Linked DNA regions of Bombyx mori. The protein of the gene in region 2 purifies or fractionates together with the protein of the main gene of each other region. This does not show direct contact. Links are inferred from orthologs where the notes say so. Each region holds a gene or a part of one and is shown on either strand. Other genes may lie near its edges. The genes, in order: kinesin-like protein Klp68D, kinesin-associated protein 3 and kinesin-like protein KIF3A.

Evidence for each region.
Region 1: the proteins of kinesin-associated protein 3 (region 2) and kinesin-like protein Klp68D purify together in Drosophila melanogaster (affinity purification with western blotting; 4 studies listed by BioGRID, with this or other methods). This does not show direct contact. The link is inferred for Bombyx mori from reciprocal best matches to the Drosophila melanogaster genes Kap3 and Klp68D.
Region 3: the proteins of kinesin-associated protein 3 (region 2) and kinesin-like protein KIF3A purify together in Drosophila melanogaster (affinity purification with western blotting; 5 studies listed by BioGRID, with this or other methods). This does not show direct contact. The link is inferred for Bombyx mori from reciprocal best matches to the Drosophila melanogaster genes Kap3 and Klp64D.

Annotation. Positions count from the first base shown.
Region 1 is NC_085120.1:13,213,624-13,220,140, reverse strand, and holds part of kinesin-like protein Klp68D, read left to right. Parts: intron 1-4,613; coding exon 4,614-4,778; intron 4,779-4,874; coding exon 4,875-5,011; intron 5,012-5,445; coding exon 5,446-5,604; intron 5,605-6,303; coding exon 6,304-6,517. UniProt on the Drosophila melanogaster protein: Plus-end directed microtubule motor that may be used for anterograde axonal transport and could conceivably move cargos in fly neurons different than those moved by kinesin heavy chain or other plus-end directed motors.
Region 2 is NC_085110.1:8,456,674-8,463,190, forward strand, and holds the end of kinesin-associated protein 3, read left to right. Parts: coding exon 1-89; intron 90-2,773; exon of another isoform or gene 2,774-2,874; intron 2,875-4,236; coding exon 4,237-4,309; intron 4,310-4,960; coding exon 4,961-5,069; 3' UTR 5,070-5,648; downstream 5,649-6,517.
Region 3 is NC_085130.1:15,775,650-15,782,166, reverse strand, and holds part of kinesin-like protein KIF3A, read left to right. Parts: intron 1-2,249; exon of another isoform or gene 2,250-2,324; intron 2,325-2,876; coding exon 2,877-3,089; intron 3,090-3,987; exon of another isoform or gene 3,988-4,060; intron 4,061-6,517.

The DNA.
Region 1 (6,517 bases), on a different chromosome or scaffold from region 2:
GTACGAGTACGAATAGTTCGTGTGTTGTGTAATATGTAAAACTATATAAAAAAATTATTGCTTAGATGGGTGGACGAGCTCACGCCTCACCTGGTGTTACCGGAATCCATAGACATCTACAACGTATATGCCGCCATCCACCTTGAAATATTAATTCTAATTTTTCAGATTTTACAATACAAATAGAGCTTTACGAATAACACCTATAAACAAGCACCGAAAGTGCTCAAAAAAATTACGTATCATTATTCTAAATGGGCGCGCGTTACCATAATGTAGAGTGACGCGCGGGTGACGTGGACCGTCTCAGGAAGGAAACGATACACATCGACGCAAGCAGACCCATGCATCAATGCGTGCGTAACTACGCAACGTGCTATTGTTATCGTTTACAACCGCAGTACTAAATAAACAGAAAGCTCAAATCGGTAACGCGATGAAGGTCTAAGAAGAAAACAGCAATCGCCAATTAGATTAAATTACCTATCCCAACCTTCAAGTATTTTCCCTGTAAAGGCACAAATTGCAGGAAAACGTGCCGAAATGAAATAGTGTTGTGAAAGTATGAGACAAATATATTTTAAATTTTATTATATGTATTCATTTCAATTTGAGACGGGGAAAGAAATCTTCCTTGAAATGGTATTTATTCATTTTAAATGTGATTAAACTGTTTTATTTATATTTCAAATTGAAAGATAGACTTTGTCCAAGCCTGTTTTTTGAACATGTACCGGTTACATCTTTCGGTAGGATTTTCGGCTTTTAAGAATTTAAATCCTTAAAGATATTAAGAGTAACGAAATTATTGAAACATTTTATTGCCTAGTGTGAAAATGAGGATTTAGTACGTTGGTCGGTGTGCGCAATTGTGTGCAATTGAACACGTCTTATTCATGCTAAACGTGATTTCAGGAACGTGTTGTATCAGTTTTCCGAGAACAATGTTATGTTTAGGAGTCATTTTAGATTTTGAATCATTGTTTTTTCGTATAATGGATACATTCCAGAAAATAAATTTCATGTTAAACTGACACAACTCAATATACACATTAGGTTCACTCACTTCACTTGATCTTGATATGCTCACTTTGAGCTCTCATATGATGGTTTTATTATTTAAATAACAAAAAACAAAAGGCTACAACGATATTGTTTTAAATTAGTTTGTTGAAAACGATCGAAATGTAACCAACCATAATTCCGTAAGAATTAGATTTATTTTCTGTACACTTTCTGTTTTATTTTATTATCGTGTTGACATTTTGAAGGAAAAAACGATTATTTCCAAAAATGTTTTAATGATAACACTAAAACCTTTTCAATGTCTACTAAACAAAAAAAGAAGTAAAAAATATAGGCTGACAAACAGAGAAATCGTTTTCACTTTGCCTATTTATGACAGATTAACATTTGCAACTTGTAAAGATTGTACCAATGATATGACTTTATCCGGAATATTTATAAAAAACGAAAGGAATCTTGAGCCTGAGATTTTTTTTAAATACTTTGGTTACACGAGATAAATCGGCCTGGTATATGCGAATTCAAACAATTTTTAACTTGAAAAATCAATCAGTAATTTGAAATTTATTATCAGTTGATCAAATATTATTATGATCGCGACCTTAATTCATGGGCAACAAGCAGACGTAATTAAATACATGTTGATTTCGCCTGGATTTTATATTAATTTATGATACATTCAATGTTTATATGAAAGTTATTTCATCTATTTGTGGATTGGACAATATCAATTCTAGTTCTGAACCTAGTTCAGGTAGCCAAATGTGGTATTTATAAAAAAGCAATATTATTATTACATTATTTACATCGAGGAGCTCACGGACCAGCGTTGGGTGCTCACGGCCCACAGATACAGCAACAGAAAAGAGTCGTCCTCCTTGTGACGTTAGGCCAACCTATAGCTGTCTGACAACCGTGTAGGCTCATTTTACACTCCATCATCAGTCAATAAGTTAATGTATTGGTCGTAGATCATAAGCCCGTCGCATTTACGAGTCGGGGGATAGTCGCATGATTCGCTGCGAGTGGGTACGTCACATGTTTTGCATTACTCTCAGCTCACGGACATTTCAAGCAGATTCATTGTTTGATAACACAATACTGGTGGTAGGACGTATTGGGAGTCCGCGTGGGTAGGTACCACCACCCTACCTATTTCTGCCGTGAAGCAGTAATGCGTTTCGGTTTGAAGGGTGGAGCAGCCGTTGTACTGTAAAAACTGAGACCTTAGAACTCATGTCTCAAGGTGGTAGATGGGGGCATTTACTTTGTAGATATCTATGGGCTCCGGTAACCACTTAACATCAGGTGGGCCGTGAGCAATAAAAAAAATTGTTCTAAATTTTGGTTTTTAGTACTAATACCTTAGATTGGGATTTTTTTAGAGCTTACAACGTCAATCCTACAAATATCAAATTTGTATGTCGACTGGGAAGAACATGCCCAATTGATCGATAGTACGTCGCACCTGGCAACTAATCAGTTCTTACATTTTATAGACATATAAACCCAAGAAAGTAACATGAGAGATTTTATTATGAGGCTACAATTATTGGTTTATTAAATAAATCTTACGACTGTAACTCTTAATTGTCACTTTCTTTAAAACGGTTATCTGTCTGTGTTCAAATATTACATCGAATAAAATAGTAAAGATTTTTGTGTATCACGGTCACCTCATCCGCAGTGGCAGAACCGAATTTGATGTGATTTGAAATTGTGAAATAAAGGGGCTAACATTTAGTGTCAAACATACAACAAAAATTATTCGAAATAGATTAAAAACAAAACAAAACGCAGCTATATATTTGAGATTTGAGTTTTAACTCGATTACTTTATTATCGGTTTGCTTGGGTACTTATTTATAGTATAATTAAAACAACTTTTGCGCTGTAATCTCTGGTTTCTTTAAACTAATCACGTATACATTTTTTTTAGTTTTATATCCAATCGGGTGATTAATTAAAAACATTGTTTTGATGAAAATAGATTATTTCTTCCAAAAATCACTCATAAAATCACGTAGCAGGTACGATTATAGAATAGAATAACAAGAACGGAAACTAAATACAATGCATAATTATGAAGGTTTGCATTTGAAAACAATTAAATAAATACATTATAATACACAGGTCATATAATATTCTAAAGCTGTTTATTCTCAAGTACCTCTGCCTTTGTTTTATGAAATACCCATTAAAATAAAGAAATAAAGGCCAAATCCTTGGTATTATAATTTCCATTTACATTGAATGTTAAAATGTTTCTGTATTAAAAATCTATCATCAGAATGATGTTCAAAACATCGTTATAGAAATATAATGCATAGTTTTGGTTTCTCATAGCAATAAGTGTGAGAACGGAACACAAGGAGGAAACGTTTAATAGGAGCGCAACTGCCAGCGCGGCGGCGCGAGGCGATGAACGAGTCTAGTGCTCCGATAGTTTAGATATATTGCGCCGGAAGGCATATATGTATATACGTAAGGGACGTCGAGGGGCGCCTAGACTAAAGGCGAGAAGAACCGATCAATGAACTATATACGATCAATTGTTACATGGTTCAGATGCAATTATCAAAAGTATCGTGAAACCCAAATAAGCTTTTTAATTAAGATGTTTTTCAGCCAGGTCAATAATATACCCGTAAAAGGTATAAGGCATATTTTAAAAATGAATCCTCAACCCTCTTTATGGGCCCAATCAAAGAAACGGTGGGCAGGGATTCCATTCCATTCCATCAAAGGCCTTTCAATATACACTGCTTGCGCTCTAATTTTTTTTAAAGGGGAAACGATTTATCCTTGATCCTAGTTTCGGCACGACATCGGAACGATATGACATACCAACAGTGGTTTGAATTAACAAACTTATTGTAAAATTTGATTTAACCACTAAACTAAATGAAGGGACAGCTGTTGCAGATCAGATGCACAATTAAATTTTGATTTAAACTAACCTGCCACACACACTCAACAACACTGTTTTATTTTTTATCAAATGATCGTAACTGTTATTTAATCTAAAAACCCACCGTCAACATAAAGCAAATGTTCGAAACTGATTCTGAAAAGAATTAGATTGCTAGATGAAACAGGCATGAATACAGAAACAAGATTCACAATCTCAACACCAATAAAGCCCAAACACGGGTCCGAATACGGGTCCTGTAATCCATTAAGCAGGTACCGATTTCTGTAATGAAGACTACATGACCGGTGAACTTACTTGAAAAGACTTTCTTGAAAATGGTTCACTTCAAGTACTGCTACAGGACATATTGTAATGATTTACACAAACAACTACAAAATACAGACGCGCCTCTGTCTATTTAGCTAATCTAAACATCAACATCGCACACGGGAAGCTTAGACATTTGAAGACATACATGATAATTTCATGCTTAATAGTCCCGAGCTAGAATTGTCGGCGACGCTTTCACACGCTCGAGACAAGAACGAGTTCGCTCATGTCCCTTGAAGTGGACATCAAGAAAGACATTGATTTGGCGGGTAGAAGGTCACTAACAACCCGACCAGATAAATAACAAGTTCAGTTCCAATAACAGATATTTGAATATTTTCAGCGTGGGCAAGTTGAACCTCGTGGACCTGGCGGGAAGCGAGCGGCAGTCCAAAACGGGCGCCTCCGCGGACAGACTGCGCGAGGCTTCTCGCATCAACCAGGCCCTCTCCTCCCTGGGAAACGTCATCTCCGCGCTCGCAGAGAACAGCCCCCACGTGCCGTACAGGTACGCATCCCTGCAATTAAATGTCGTTTTTCATGAACGGTCGACTCGGTGATTGTGTGGAAGATACAGAATATTGAAGTATCTGTGTGTGCGCAGGGACTCGAAGCTGACTCGGATTCTGCAGGACTCGCTGGGCGGCAACAGCAAGACCATAATGATCGCGAACATCGGGCCCGCCTCCTACAACTACGACGAGACCGTCACCACGCTGCGGTACGCGCACCGCGCCAAAGGTACCGAGACTTATCATATTCAATATTATCTATATTTTCCAAAGAAAACAATTAGACGAATGCAGTTAAATTACTTATTTTCTCTTATATGAGGCCGTCAGCGCAAAAGTGGCCTAAGCTTACCATAATTATTATGGAGCAATGAAGTTTAAGTTTTCATGAATTTGAATTTGAGTAGGCATAAAAACAATACGCGCAAAAATGTTTACAAAGTCATCTGTTATCTATGGGTGAAACTATGGATGGGCCGGTTTTGCATCAAAATATACTATTTTTAAATAAATTGCAATATACATAATTATAAGCATGATTATGATAAATTGTGGGTTAGGCCACTTTTGCGCTGACGGCCTCGTATATAGCCGAACAAATTTTGTAACCGTTACCCTCGGAGCTGAGGACCCTAACATGACACTGGACTGCACCCATTTCAGCGATAAAGAACAAGCCGGTCCGCAACGAGGACCCGAAGGACGCCAAGCTGCGCGAGTACCAGGCCGAGATCGAGCGACTCCGCGCGCTCATCGAGCAGAGGAAGCTCATCGAGAAGCGGCCCAGGAAGCCGCGCCCCGCCAGGCCGCACCCCGACAACGGTAAGTGCGGCGCCGACTCTGTCTCTATCTGTTCCCATCGGGCGCCGCGGTGCAGGTGTCGGCCGGAGCACCCGCGGGCCCGTGCATTTGCGACAACCAGAAGGTGAGACGCCCTCGGTCACGTTTAACGCAATCCACGAGGAGTCCGAACACCGGCCGACACGCCTCCAGCACGGACCGCCAGGACTGGACCCCCGCGTTCTAATGCTTCCTTCACCGTCTTATAAGTCGTCGTGGCCTAAAGGATAAGACGTCCGGTGCATTCGTATCTAGCGATAGCACCGGTGTTCGAATCTCGCAGGCGGGTAAAAATTTTTCTAATGAAATACGTACTCAACAAATGTTCACGATTGACTCCCATGGTGAAGGAATAACATCGTGTAATAAAAATCAAAACCCGCAAAATTATTATTAATGATATAATTTGCGTAAATACTGTTAGCAGGACGTCTCGTTAGTCTACACGGGCAGGTAGCAGCGCCGCTGGTGGTGGTGGTGGTGGTGGCATTTACGTTGTAGATGTCAATGTTGATGTTAAATTTTATAACTTTATAGTTCTTCATTTCTGTCACCGCTGTTTTATTGACATTCTACATTAACCCGAACTGACTGCCAAACAGCGCAAGCGCGGGAACAGCTGACGTTAAAAAGAGTCTGCCCTCTTTACACATGCCGTATTTATTACAATTATTATTTCAGCAGCGGAAGACGACACGCTCAGTATAGAGAACGAGAACATTCTAGCGGAATCTACGATAGAACAAGAAAAAGTAAAGACTGAAGAATTGGAGCAACAGATTCGATCGCTGGAGGACCGGCTCGTGCAGGGCGGTGCGGGGAAGGACCTCATCAACAACCTCAACGAGAGCCAAATTATACTAGAGCAGAGGAACCTCGAGATCGCGGAGAGGAA
Region 2 (6,517 bases):
GGCGGAGGGAGGTGCGGGGGACGCGGCCGACGATTTGCCCCCCTACCTTTCCGCCGAGTACCTCACCACACACCGGCTTGCCACCTCCGGTAAGTACTTGCTCATTGGTCTTGGTAATCACCGAGATAATTGGATAACTGACTCATTTCGTTTTTTAACCGATTTCAAAAAAGGAGGAGGTTCTCAATTCGACTATGTTTTTTACCTCACAACTTTCTACTGGGTGAATCGATTTTGATGATTCTTTTTTTTTATTAGAAAGCTAACGCTTCCCGTGTTGTTCCATTACATTTTCCGTGTTGTTCCATTACATTTTCCGTGTTGTTCCATTACAGTCTAGTTTTGATAATGGTATCCATGAGAAAACCATATAAGTCTTAAATTTGCATTAAGTACGTGCGCGATTAACAGACGAATTAGTCAATAATTCAATATCACGCCAACCGATTTCGATGATTACTGTTTTTAGTGTACATTAATTTGTTTTGGAATATCTTTTTTTTTCTATTTGAAGTCGGTTTTTGTTAAAACATGTCTATTTACAATTATTTATATTAAAACAAATTAGGCAGGTTTAATTCTACTAATATTATAAATGTCAAAGTTTGTGAAGATGTTTGAATGCTTGTCACTCAACCACGTGTAAACGGTTGAATGGTTATGCCAAAAATTTGTCACAGAGATACACCATTTCCTGAATAAAAGAATTAAAAGACAATAATACTTTTTATTCTGGTAATGTTTTTTCTCTTGATAATAGTCAATTTCGATCTAAAACCTTAGTTTTGAACTTATCACTAACATGGCGTTAACAAAATGTTTCTGTGGGATAACAATTCAAGTTTAGTGCTATTTTAATTCGGTTTTAATTCGACAATTTATGGTTCGCGATTTTGTGACTAGATGGTGTTGGCGTCGATTTACATCGTTCCATGTTTTCACTATCGTGACATACATAGTTAGAGGATCAGTGGATTAATATTAAAGCCTCTAAAGGTTTGATGTGATAATATTGAAAATAACTTTGCTTACTTTACGAAATACAATTTATTTTATGAATAGCTATTATTAACAATGACCATTTATTAATCCCAGGGCCAAACGCTGAAAATGGTAGGAATTCATCTAGGCTCTTCTTGCATTTCACATGGTCAGCTATACAATATCGACTGTGACTGTACTTACTCAAAATAATAGATCGTAGTGGATCTGCAAAAACACAATTCATTTAATATCAATGTTTTTTATTCAACCAAGCATATAATCTGTTGAATGAATTTGGATAAAATTACTTCTTGGGAAAGCTACTTTTTGCGTGGGCAAAGCCGGGAACAGAAGCTAATATAAATAATAAAGCTATATAATATAAAGCTATATAAATAATAAAGCTAATATAAATAATAGCTAAGCTAAATAATAAAATGAAACAACATAAATCGGCAAAATAAAATTTGTAGGGTTTGATTTTCCTATCATATTTTAATACAATATAGCCTAGAATTACTAAAAAGAAATATACTCGAAAGCAATGAATGCGGGTCACCTAAAGAAACCTATTGTTACGCCGGTAAGAGACGCCATCTATCGCCGAATAGTGGAACGAATATCGAAGGATCTAGTAGCACCTAGAACTGTCGGGAAGTACAACGCCATCTATTGTCAGATAGCGGAAACAATACTAGAGATGTGTGGAATATTCTCGATAATTCTAGGGATGAGGTATCGACTATAAAAGCGTTGCAGGGGTGGCACGCAGTCAGTCAGTAATCTGAACTACTCGAAGCGAAACAGCGAACGGATCACCTGAAGTGAAACGGAAGAAGCGAATTGAGAGTTTTAAACTGTTTGTTGAGTGTTTTAAGTGTTCTAAGCGTTTAATACAGTGTTAACTTGCAATTCGGTAGAATTTTTATTTATCGCGAACCCCAGCGCGTAAAACTATAAATCTTGGAAACTAAGAATGCCAGCTTAATAAAATAAACGGTGTTTAATAGACAATGTAATACCCCTTAAATGAAAGTAATAAAATTTATAAGTCACTACATGTTATTTATTAAAAATTACATAAAGAAGAAAAAACTGCTGATCTCGCCTTAAAACACAAACAGGAAACATGACATGTAATGTTCATCTCGTGTAGGTAGTCATTCACACTGAAACCTGTATGAGGTCGGGCATGGTCATGCATAAAAATAACATCTTCACCCAAATTGATCATAAATGGCCCAACGTGTTCATTAAGGATTTCTTCCAATCTTCTATCTTACGCTAGTTAAAGGGCCATTTTCTATGAACACCAGTTCTGTGCGACTCTCAGATGAAATTCCGGCCCACACAAGTACAGACCCACCACCGTAGGCTACTTTTTCGTCTATGCATGCTTGCTTGAATCGTGCTTGTAGAGCATAAATTTTGATTCGTCAGAGAGCATAACTTTCGACCAATCTTCAATAGTCTAATTTAAACGGTTCTGGGACATCTTAGTCTTGAAGTTCAATCACCACGCTCCAGTTTAGAGCCATTTGCAGGTCTAAGTGGTTTCAAGTTAGCTTAAACAACTCGTCGTCTTACTGTCCATGCGCTTGGGTTACGTCCTCTGAGGCATCGAGACTGATTTTTAAGTTCAGTTCCTGTAAGAAAGCGATTACGACGCATGGTGTTCACCAAGTATCGATCATCTCGTGCTGTGGTACACCTAGTCCTGCTTGTTCCTGGTCTGCGTAGGTTAGAGCCAGTTTCCTCGTAACGTTGGAGAACTTTGTACTGTTGACAGCGACATCGACAGTTCTGGCTATATCCCGCTGACTCCGGCCGGTTTCCAGCATTTCGTAAGGATTCTGGTGCATTCTTCAGTTGTAAGCAACATGATTACAGGTTGTATAATAAATATTGAACATTATCATTAGGTATGGTTTATATACCCACTTAAATGACAGATTAGAAACAAAATAAAAATCAAATGCAGTAATTTCGTAGTTTCATCTTCAAAAGTCTCCTTTTAAACCTACCCACCAAAAGGTTTAAATAAACCTTAATTTAATGAGTATTTAATTGTCTACTAAACACAATTTATTTCATTAAGCTACCATTCTTAGTTTCCGATATTTATAGGTTTTTAAGTGATCCGGATTCATTGCTCTCGAGTGTATAAGTAATTCTGAGATAAGTGTTTAAATATTTAGTGGTGATTGTGAGCAGATACTCTTATCCGACCCAGGCGACGAGACAACCCAAATCCGTCGTCGCTCGATACATGTCATCATCCTCGTCGAACTCTTCAATTAAGACAGAGAATTCGACGAGCGAACTCACACATTGACACTGCTCACTGAATTTCTCACCGGATCTTCTCAGTGGGTCGCGATTCCGATTTGAGGTTATTTCTACTAAGCACTGCTCTTGCTAGGGCTAGTGTTATTCTCTCAGGTTGAGCCCGTGAACTCATCTATCCGTGCGGGCCTAGCTGAAAAGACCAATTAGGCTTCCAGCGATAAGATAGAGGCTCGGGACTCTAATGCAGAGACCTATGACACTAAATTGAAATGGCAGGAAATGGTAGGCAGCGGCTTGGCTGGTAGGCCGTGGCTTGGCTGGTAGGCAGCGGCTTGGCTCTGTTCCTAGCATTGCTGAATTCCATGGGCGACGCTAACCATCAGTTGGGCCGTGTCCTCGTCCGCCTACAAGGGCAATAAAAAAAATGGCAGTTATGAAGATTGACGCGAGCACGAAATTAAAAAGTTTGTAATATTCTATTTGCTCAGACATTTATTTTTGTTAATCGTCTGTATTTTAGGTTAGCTTTTGTGAGAAAAAATATACCAGATTATAAGAAGAGGTAGTTGTATTTCACCTTGATAATAAATCGAGTCATTAATTTAATCCATATACTACACGAGATAGGTCCAGGAGAACATCTAATTTTAAAGACAAAACTTAATAGGGTTTAATACACGTTTAGCCATGACTTGACGGCAAACCTGAAGTATGTTGTCATAAACAGATCTGTGAACTAATTGCCGTAGATTTTTACGAGTGAGAAGACAAACTGGCAATGTAAGCCAGTCAGAAAGGAGGGAAAACGATGAGTGTGCTACGGTCGTTTAGTTTTTGTTGCAAGGCTACTTACTACACAGTAACGAGCTAGCTAGAACTTGCATTTTTATTGTATTCTAGAAGTTTTGTACCAGTAACATATCTTTTTATGGTAATTTTATTAAAATCTTATTATATTTTCAGACTCACAAACGTCAATTAACGACGACTCAGATAGCCTGTCGGGTGAGGTTGATCTTAATCGCGTCGAAGCCAGGTGAATAAAATTGATTAACACTGTAAAATACTATACATACTAACATAACCAACTTAAAGTGGTCCGTTAAGTTAATTTGTACGTTTAAGATAATATCTGGAAACACTGTACTGTTTTTATAAATTATTCATTAATGCTACTAATAGATAATTACTCTATCCCTAATATAACGTGGCTCTATTTGTTATATGTGAAAGTGCTAAGATCAAAGTAAGAATATTCGCAAATCAAGTTTTCAAATGACATTTCTGACAGTGTTTTGGCAGCGGCTTGAAGTGAAGGCACACGCCTTTGCTCCTGTCGTTGTCCGTGAGCAACAGCTTATGATCGCGTTTGTCATAGGAAAGATGCCTTTGTGTGGTGGACTCACAGCTCACCTGGTGTTAAGTCGTTACTGGAGCCCATAGACGTCTACAACATAAATGCGCCACCCACCTTGAGATATAAGTTTTATGGTCTCAGTATAGTTACAACGGCTGCCCCATCCTTCAAACCGAAACGCATTATTGCTTCACGGCAAAAATAGGCAGGGTGGTGGTACCTACCCGTGCGGACTCACAAGAGGTCCTACCACCAGTAAAAAATAAGATAGATATATAGATAGATAATGTCTAAGAAATATTCGAATAATTAACTCTAACCTCTTTAAAGGAACTCTTCAGAGGAGCATAAAGGCGAACTTTTCACTTCGACGGATGGCTCGTCGGGGAAGCTTTCGGATATCGACGGCCCTACCAGTGATATTGTACTATTCACTTAATTTAAAATAGTTTTAAATAATCACATAGATGCTTAACACGTATTAGTTTTTGCTTCTATTAATCTAGCTTCAAATAGAAAAAAAAAGCGTGCAACTATTTGTTATTTAGATTGTTCTGATTTATATTAAAATAAAACAGTAACAGCCTAAAATGTTCGTATGTAATTTAGACTCTACATAAATTATTTATTTTTTCCTAAAGCTTATTTAGTTTTTAGTAAGGATATATTTGGTGTCTTCGATCACAATCAAAAGAAATTAATCCTGTAAATAAAGCCCAACACTTTAGTCGATATCTTACAGAATATGACTCTAGGTTGCGATTATAGTAACTGAATGAAGATCTCAGTAATGTATGAAGAATACTTGACGCCCACTAACGCTAACAGCTTTTAACGATGTATTTGTGCACTGTGAAGTTTTAATGATCAAGCTCTGATTGATAGGTGAAGTCTAAATATTATGATGATCTCAGTATTAAATAAATCGCAGTTTTCTTTTTTGGTATAACTAAATATACAGTGTGGCCACAAATACTGTTATAATATATAAATAAAGATATTATATTTAAATTTAGAACGTGACTTTCTCTTATATTCATTACTACCTTATCTCATTTTCGTAGAAATCTGTGTTAAAGACTCTTGTGTGATTAAAATAAGCTAGGTAATAAAGAGAACCGAATTAATGTGAAAATATTACAATATTACACATTTGAAATTTTTGTAACACTATCCGCAATACTAATTGTTGTCAACCGAATGTTTGTGTATATAACTATTTTATGTATTTAAGTAGGTCGTATGAAACGTCCTCTGTTTATGTGAATTTTGCGTTCTGTAGTAAAAGTGGGTTTCGACATCTCGGATCCTCCCGACCCACTAACGGTGCTTTTAAGTACCCCAAGCACCGGTCATCGTTCTCGTCGAACCCATCGCTGGCGACGAAGGGCTCGGCAAGTAAATTAACCCACAGACACAGCCCATTGAGTTTCTCCAAGAATCTTCTCAGTGGGTCGCGTTTCCGATACGATGGTAGATTCTGCGAAGCTCTTGCTATGGTTCGTGTTAGCAACTACGTCAGGCTTGAGATCTGTGAGCTCACCTACTCGCCCGGTGACGCTGATATGGTCTATGAAGACCATCACCTTTGGTTGGAAAAAAGTGTACATATCAAAGTGGAATAAACTGTTGTTTTATGAGGATGAATTTATATAGTTCGTATCAAATATTTTTTTCATATCATTATCAATGTGTAACTAAGAAATGGTTTATACAAAATATATCTTCTGTCCTGCGCATTATTCTCGTTTCGTATATTCCGATGATTATACATATGTATGGATGTATGTAGTCTTTGGGCGCCACAGTCCAATTCTGTTGTTGAATGAAAATAAAATATCCATTATTTTATATAGGTACTTTAAAACTTTATTATAATGTAACGCT
Region 3 (6,517 bases), on a different chromosome or scaffold from region 2:
CAACGCGTTGTCGATAGATACTTTATGTTAGCGGTTTGGTCTCGGTCAAACTTAACCGGCCTGTGGACGCTGAGATTTTGGCTAATATTAGAATCTGGATATGAAGAATACACAGTAAATACAAATAAACTTTTGATTTTTATCATCTTAACTATCCAGGAACTAGAATTGGAGAGTCTTAAATGATCTTAACTGTTCTCATGACCAGCGTCCAACGGTGATGGCAATCGTACTCCACCAAATATACCGTAGAGTGGTTCGACTTTGTTAGCGAAAATAATAAGGGATAAAATTAGTTGGAACACGTAACTAGGTCACAAGATCTTGGTGCTAAAACAATTTGTCCAGCGTAACTGAGAAATTAGGGGTACCCTGGGCCGCTGAGTCCTCTACTAATGCTCCCCCTTCTGTGGTAGCAGTGGTTTAGTTGTTGTAAAACCGCCCCACTTCTACCCGTGGTTGTGGTTGTGATAGCTTTAGTAAAAAGCTTTTAGTAAAGCTCTACAAATTACAAAAACAGGTCACAGGCGGACGTATCACGATGCACAGCAATGAGCGATAAACTGAAGGAGGGAGGGGGGAGGAGCAAAGCTTACTTAGTGAATTATTAAAACAAGAACATGACCTTATTTAATATTAGCACTAAAAAACAAAACAAAAAAAAACCTTAATAAATTTTATTTATAACAATAACCATAAAAAAAAGAGAAATTTTTATTTTTATAACTCACATAATGCATCCTAAATCCTATCATTGAGATTATTTTTTTATTGCTTAGATGGTTGGACGAGCTCACAGCCCATCTGGTGTTAAGTGGTTACTGGAGCCCATAGACATCTACAACGTAAATGCGCCACCCACCTTGAGATATAAGTTCTAAGGTCTCAGTATAGTTACAACGGCTGCCCCACCCTTCAAACCGAAACGCATTACTGCTTCACGGCAGAAATAGGCAGGGTGGTGGTACCTACCCGTGCGGGCTCACAAAAGGTCCTACTACCGGTAATATTGATAGTGAGATATTGCAGGAACATCCGTTAGGTAAATATTTTCCGACCTATATTTCGATATCTTTACTTACCTAGTGAACTATTTAAAAGAGGAGCACTTATTTATTTAATACTAGCTGACCCGGCAGACTTCGTAGTGCCTCAGTCGTTAAATAAAAGAACTAAACTTTTGTATAAAATAAACTTAAAACACACAAAAGGAATCGGTCCGACGGGAGACACATCAAAGGAAAAACTAAATTGTTATTTTTATTTTTAATTCCGAGCATTTTTATATTTACCTACCTTTTAAATCTTCTCTGGACTTCCACAAATAATTCAAGACCAAAATTAGCCAAATCGGTCCAGTCGTTCTCGAGTTTTAGCGAGACTAACGAACAGCAATTCATTTTTATATATACTAGAGGTCCCGCAGTAGTCGAAATTCGACTATAATTAATTGGAATTGTAAGTTTGTACACTATTATGATTGTATTTTATACTTCTATAATCACAGATTTCGCCAAGACTACACTATAAAAAATATTAACAAAGACAAACAATATTTCATGTATTCTCAATTTGACAACAGACGTCAAGAACAAAAGTTTGACAATAAATAGTATGCATGCGTGTGTGCGTCAAATACATGGTATGTAGTGTGTGTAATGTTTTCTTTATTGATTTAATGTATCTGTTATGCATTATTTTAAAAAAATATTAGCATTGTGCACTTCTTCTCTATATTCTCTATAAGTGTGGAAAATTTCATACTCCTCCGTCCGCGCAATTTTCGTAAAAAGGGGTACAAAGTTTTTGCTTCACGTATTAATATATAGATAGATTAGCTTTAAAAAACAAAAAAAAAAGCACGTTAATAAATTTTAATTGTAACAATACGTACGTAAACACTAAAAATAAACTAGGCGCGTCTATTCTATAAAGGGATTCTGCAACGCGGGCCGTCACTATTTCGATTTAGGTCAACGCGCTAATAAGTAAGAGTAACACACAAACGCCAAACCTAATTCGGGCGTTCTAATATCGAAAACGTACCCGGGTCCGTCCGTGGCTTTGTTTAAATCGGTATTAGTAATTGCATAAATGGGTGTATTATTTTGCGTTTTAAACGTTTGAAATTGGAACGATGCTCGTTCGTTACGTACGTACGTACGTATATACGTATGTAAATTAATATTTTCTGGGACACGAAGGTGTTGCCAGTTGCCACAGATCGCTGGGCCGCCTCCTCGCAGTCTCCGGCGGGCTTTGCTCGCTAGCGGACGCGTCGGGTCATCCGGCCCGCCGAAATTGTGTGACCTAAATTGAGAAATGTAACAAAGAACGCTTTTATTTTATATATTTTGTTTTTCCTAACCGCCAAAATTGATAATGCCTTTGTATGGTATAACCGTGTTTTAAGATTGCGGGCTCTGTATGATTTTTTTTTTAACGAATGTCTCGATTTCGAAACAAAGGCGTTTGCGTAATGCAAACTCGAGAAATTTGAGTACATAATGTGTTGTAATATTATTATTTGAAACGAGGGAATCGTTTGCGCGTTGCGAGAAAGAAAAAAAAATAGCGTAGTTGCTTTTTTAACGGTCGCGTAACAAAGGAGTGCTGAGGTTTTTTTTTGTTTGTTTGATTTCCATTTTTAAATCGCGCAAATAACGAGAGTTAGCAGCGCGCGCTTCTTCGGAATAGCGCGTTCGTTACAACGTACATAATTTGAACGACACGCGACGCTAGTTTAGAGCTTGACCCCAATATTGCGAGGTCAAATGTGACACCAATGTTTTTTTTTGTTTTTTTTTTTTGTGAATTTGCAGCCGCGTTCCTTTTTCGAAACCACACTAATGATAACTTTTTTGTGTTTTCAATAGGACGCAGAGCTCTCGGCTCCGACCGTCGAGAATGTTCGGGTGGTGGTTCGCGTGCGGCCCATGGACCAGAGGGAGAAAATGGACGGCTCCTACAATTGCGTGTCCGTAGATTCCGTGAACGGGACTGTGGCTGTGACCAGGAACAACGTGACGCCTCCAGAGCCGCCTCGCGTTTATGCTTACGATGCTGTCTTCGACTCTAACACCAGTCAGGTAAGTGCTATTTTGGCCTGACCGGGCCATGACAACTAAACTAAGGTAGGTGTTGGTCGTAGTCATAAATAAGGGGTTGCCCACAGGATTTAAAAAAAAAAGGAGTTTTCAAAATATATGTGTAAACCGCGGTACTGTATTTGGTACATAGTTAACTGTTTGATATATATTATTATGTAGGTGGAATTGACGCATGCGCGGTAGTGTCCATACCAATCGACGTTTTGAAGCCCTTTAGTACTACGTGCATTGCATAGTACAATTGGGTCATGAAATTTGTAGGAATTTTATATAAATTTGTCTTAATTTTCATTCAATAATTCGATAATAAATTCTTTTAGTTTCCGTTTATATGAACTTTACGAGGTGTGCGTTTTTTTTTTATATGACATTTACCTACTTGTTCTCATTTTGAAACATTTAAAAACCTTTGAATTTGGAATCGAATGAAGGATTATATTTTGTTTTTTTTTTGTTTAAATTACGAAGCCGTATTTAAACGTTCACGCCCACAAAAGCGTTTCGGTACATCGTTCGGCGGAAACGAACGAAGCCGACGGTTGCGCGTTGCAGTGCAGCTCGCTCGGAGCCGATTCCCTCCGAGTACTCTACATTATTTCACTAGCCGTCGACGTTGCGACGAGCGCAGTTGTCAGCGGAACATAACCGCTCTGTTACAATGACTTAGTTAAAGTACTCGTATTGACTCTTATTACTGTCGGAATTAGGTTGAGTATTTTGAGTTATCGCGGTACTTGTTTTGAATTTGGAATTTGAATTTTATTTGACAGTCGACATGGTTCATTGTTGTAGTGATATGGAACTGATATTATAGTGTTGTACCAAGAATACTTTGGCGTCGAAGAAGAAGTGATGAACACGAATAGAAGATGAAACGCATTACTCGTCCGCCCTTCGTCTTGACTGGCGCTGTCGCTTGCATCAGTCTTGTCGAATGGTGGGTGAGTTTCGTGTGTGACGTCATTTAGAAGACGACTCGAAGGCTGAATTGAAACGACGCTTATGTGTGAGCATTGAACGTGTGACTTGAAAAACAAAGAGCTCAGTTTTGTTATTTTGTTTTTGTTGAACATTAAAAATCTTCAATGTGGGAATTTTCAAAGCCATTCTTTTTCAAGTTACGTTCTAAGCCCACAAACTGGCAAACGAAATGTGAAGCAAGAAGATTAATAAACGTGTGGTGTAACGTTCTTAGTGCATCTTGCGCTACGTTTGGGTTTCGGCGCTTCGTGTCGAAATCCTGGTATTGCAAGACGATTAAGAAATATATTGCTTAATGCACAGGGAACGTTGCACCTAATAACGTCGAGCGAGAACCGAAGAATCGAAGTGTTTCTATATTTAAAAATGTGCATTAAATTTTTCGATTTGTTTTTTTTGGAAATCGAAACTTTTTAAATGTCAGCCAGTTGTCTAGAATAAATTTGAAAATGGAATAGTTTCGGATTTGGATCTTGTATTTTGTAATTTGAACTAATAATAATGTTTATTATATTATACGCGCCGATGTATGTATGTATGTATGTAAAATGTCATTTAAAGCAATCACTGTGACTAAAGTTCTTATATAATGTTTTTTTCGAGGTTACCATTAAATTTCAAGGAATCTTAAAACTGATTAGATAATTTGTTAATGTAACGGAAATTTTAAAACAATTTATTACGAATAACTTTGGTATTTTTTTTATAGGAAAACACGAAACGTATTAAATACAGAGTATACTTAATATCGAAGTCAATCTGTATAAGTTTTTTTTTTTTTTTGCAAAAGCACATAATGCGGGAAATCGTTCCAAATACGAAATGCACACAAAGATAGCGTTACCAACATGACGAAACGAAATTGAGTTTGTAATGAAAGAGGGCGACCTCGTCGTGTTGCAGCCGGGCCTGGGGATGCCCTAATTGCGCTGTGCCGGCGACCGATCAATAACACTCGAACCGTTCTGTAGGTCTATCCGCGTCTAGCACTACCGCCTACCATCGCTAGTACGTACAGAGTCGTATAGAGCAGGTGCTCCCAAACTTTTTTTTGCCCACTTTGAGAATAAATTATTTTTTAGCGCTACCATTTTTTCACCTACCTAAAAATCACTACAGCGAGAGGTCAGTCGGTCTAAGATAAAGTCAGAAATCGCCTCCCAAGCCTTGTTTATCTGGGTCTCTTATCGTCCCCCTTTCGTTTTTTTTAAGGGATCTTGTGACCTGGTAACTAAGACCTTTAGGTAAAGTCTTATTTTAATTTTAATTCTTTTATTTTATGAAAAATGATAATATGGAGTGAAATGAAATGAAATGAAGATGATTAATTTGAGACATAAATCAGCTGAGATGAAATTAAATGAGATGAGATGATATGGGATATCTATAATCTCTGTAAAATTGTGGTTATTTATTGAGACTTTTTCAGGGGGCTTTTTGGAGGATCTCGAGAAGCTACGTCCATCGGCTTTGTTTCCTTTTCCCACATTTGTGCACTTTCACAAATATTAAACAGTTAATAAACCACCGTTATTACGCATTTAAACCTGAAGAAACACTAAATAGACAGAATAAAACAAATCACACAACTACACTCCTCGCGTTCCCACTAAAAAGTCTGCCCTCTTTAGGCCTGCAGCGCCAACAAGAGGGCGTTATCGCCCACTTTGGGAAAGGCTGGTATAGAACGAAACCGAACGGTTCGTACTAGCTCGCACTAGTTCGTCCAGTTTAAATTTGGAAATGGAACGTAAAACAATTGAGCTATATACGTAGAATTAGTTCATCGGTCAGATGTACACGGAGAGAGAATGATTTAAAAAAAGAATTTATATATTTTTTATTGTCTCTACAATGATTTTACTTTTGAATGGATTACAAATGAATTGTTTTAATTAGGTATAGTTTGTTTTTGTCGTGATCCGGAATTTTTTTTGAAAATGGAATTATGGAACTATGGATGATGTTTGAAACAATTTCTAGATTGAGAGCTGTGAGAGAAAGGTTTGTATAAAAGAATGTTGTTTTAGGAACAAGAAAGTGTTTTTTTTTTGTAATAGTAATGTGATTATTACAGGTCCCATTACCGAGTTTCGCTAAAGATGTATTATTGTTTATAAATTAGAGAAGTGCATTTACAGTGCGTTTCCAGAGATCTTTTTTGCCACGTACCATCCGGCTATGGAATGAGCTCCCCTCCACGGTGTTTCCCGAGCGCTATGACATGTCCTTCTTCAAACGAGGCTTGTGGAGAGTATTAAGCGTTAGGCAGCGGCTTGGCTCTGCCCCTGGCATTGCTGAAGTCCATGGGCGACGGTAACCACTCACCATCAGGTGGGCCGTATGCCCGTCTGCCTACAAAGGCAATAAAAAAAAAAAACAGGAAATGTTGAGCGAATTTAAAAAGAATGACCTTGACCTGAGCT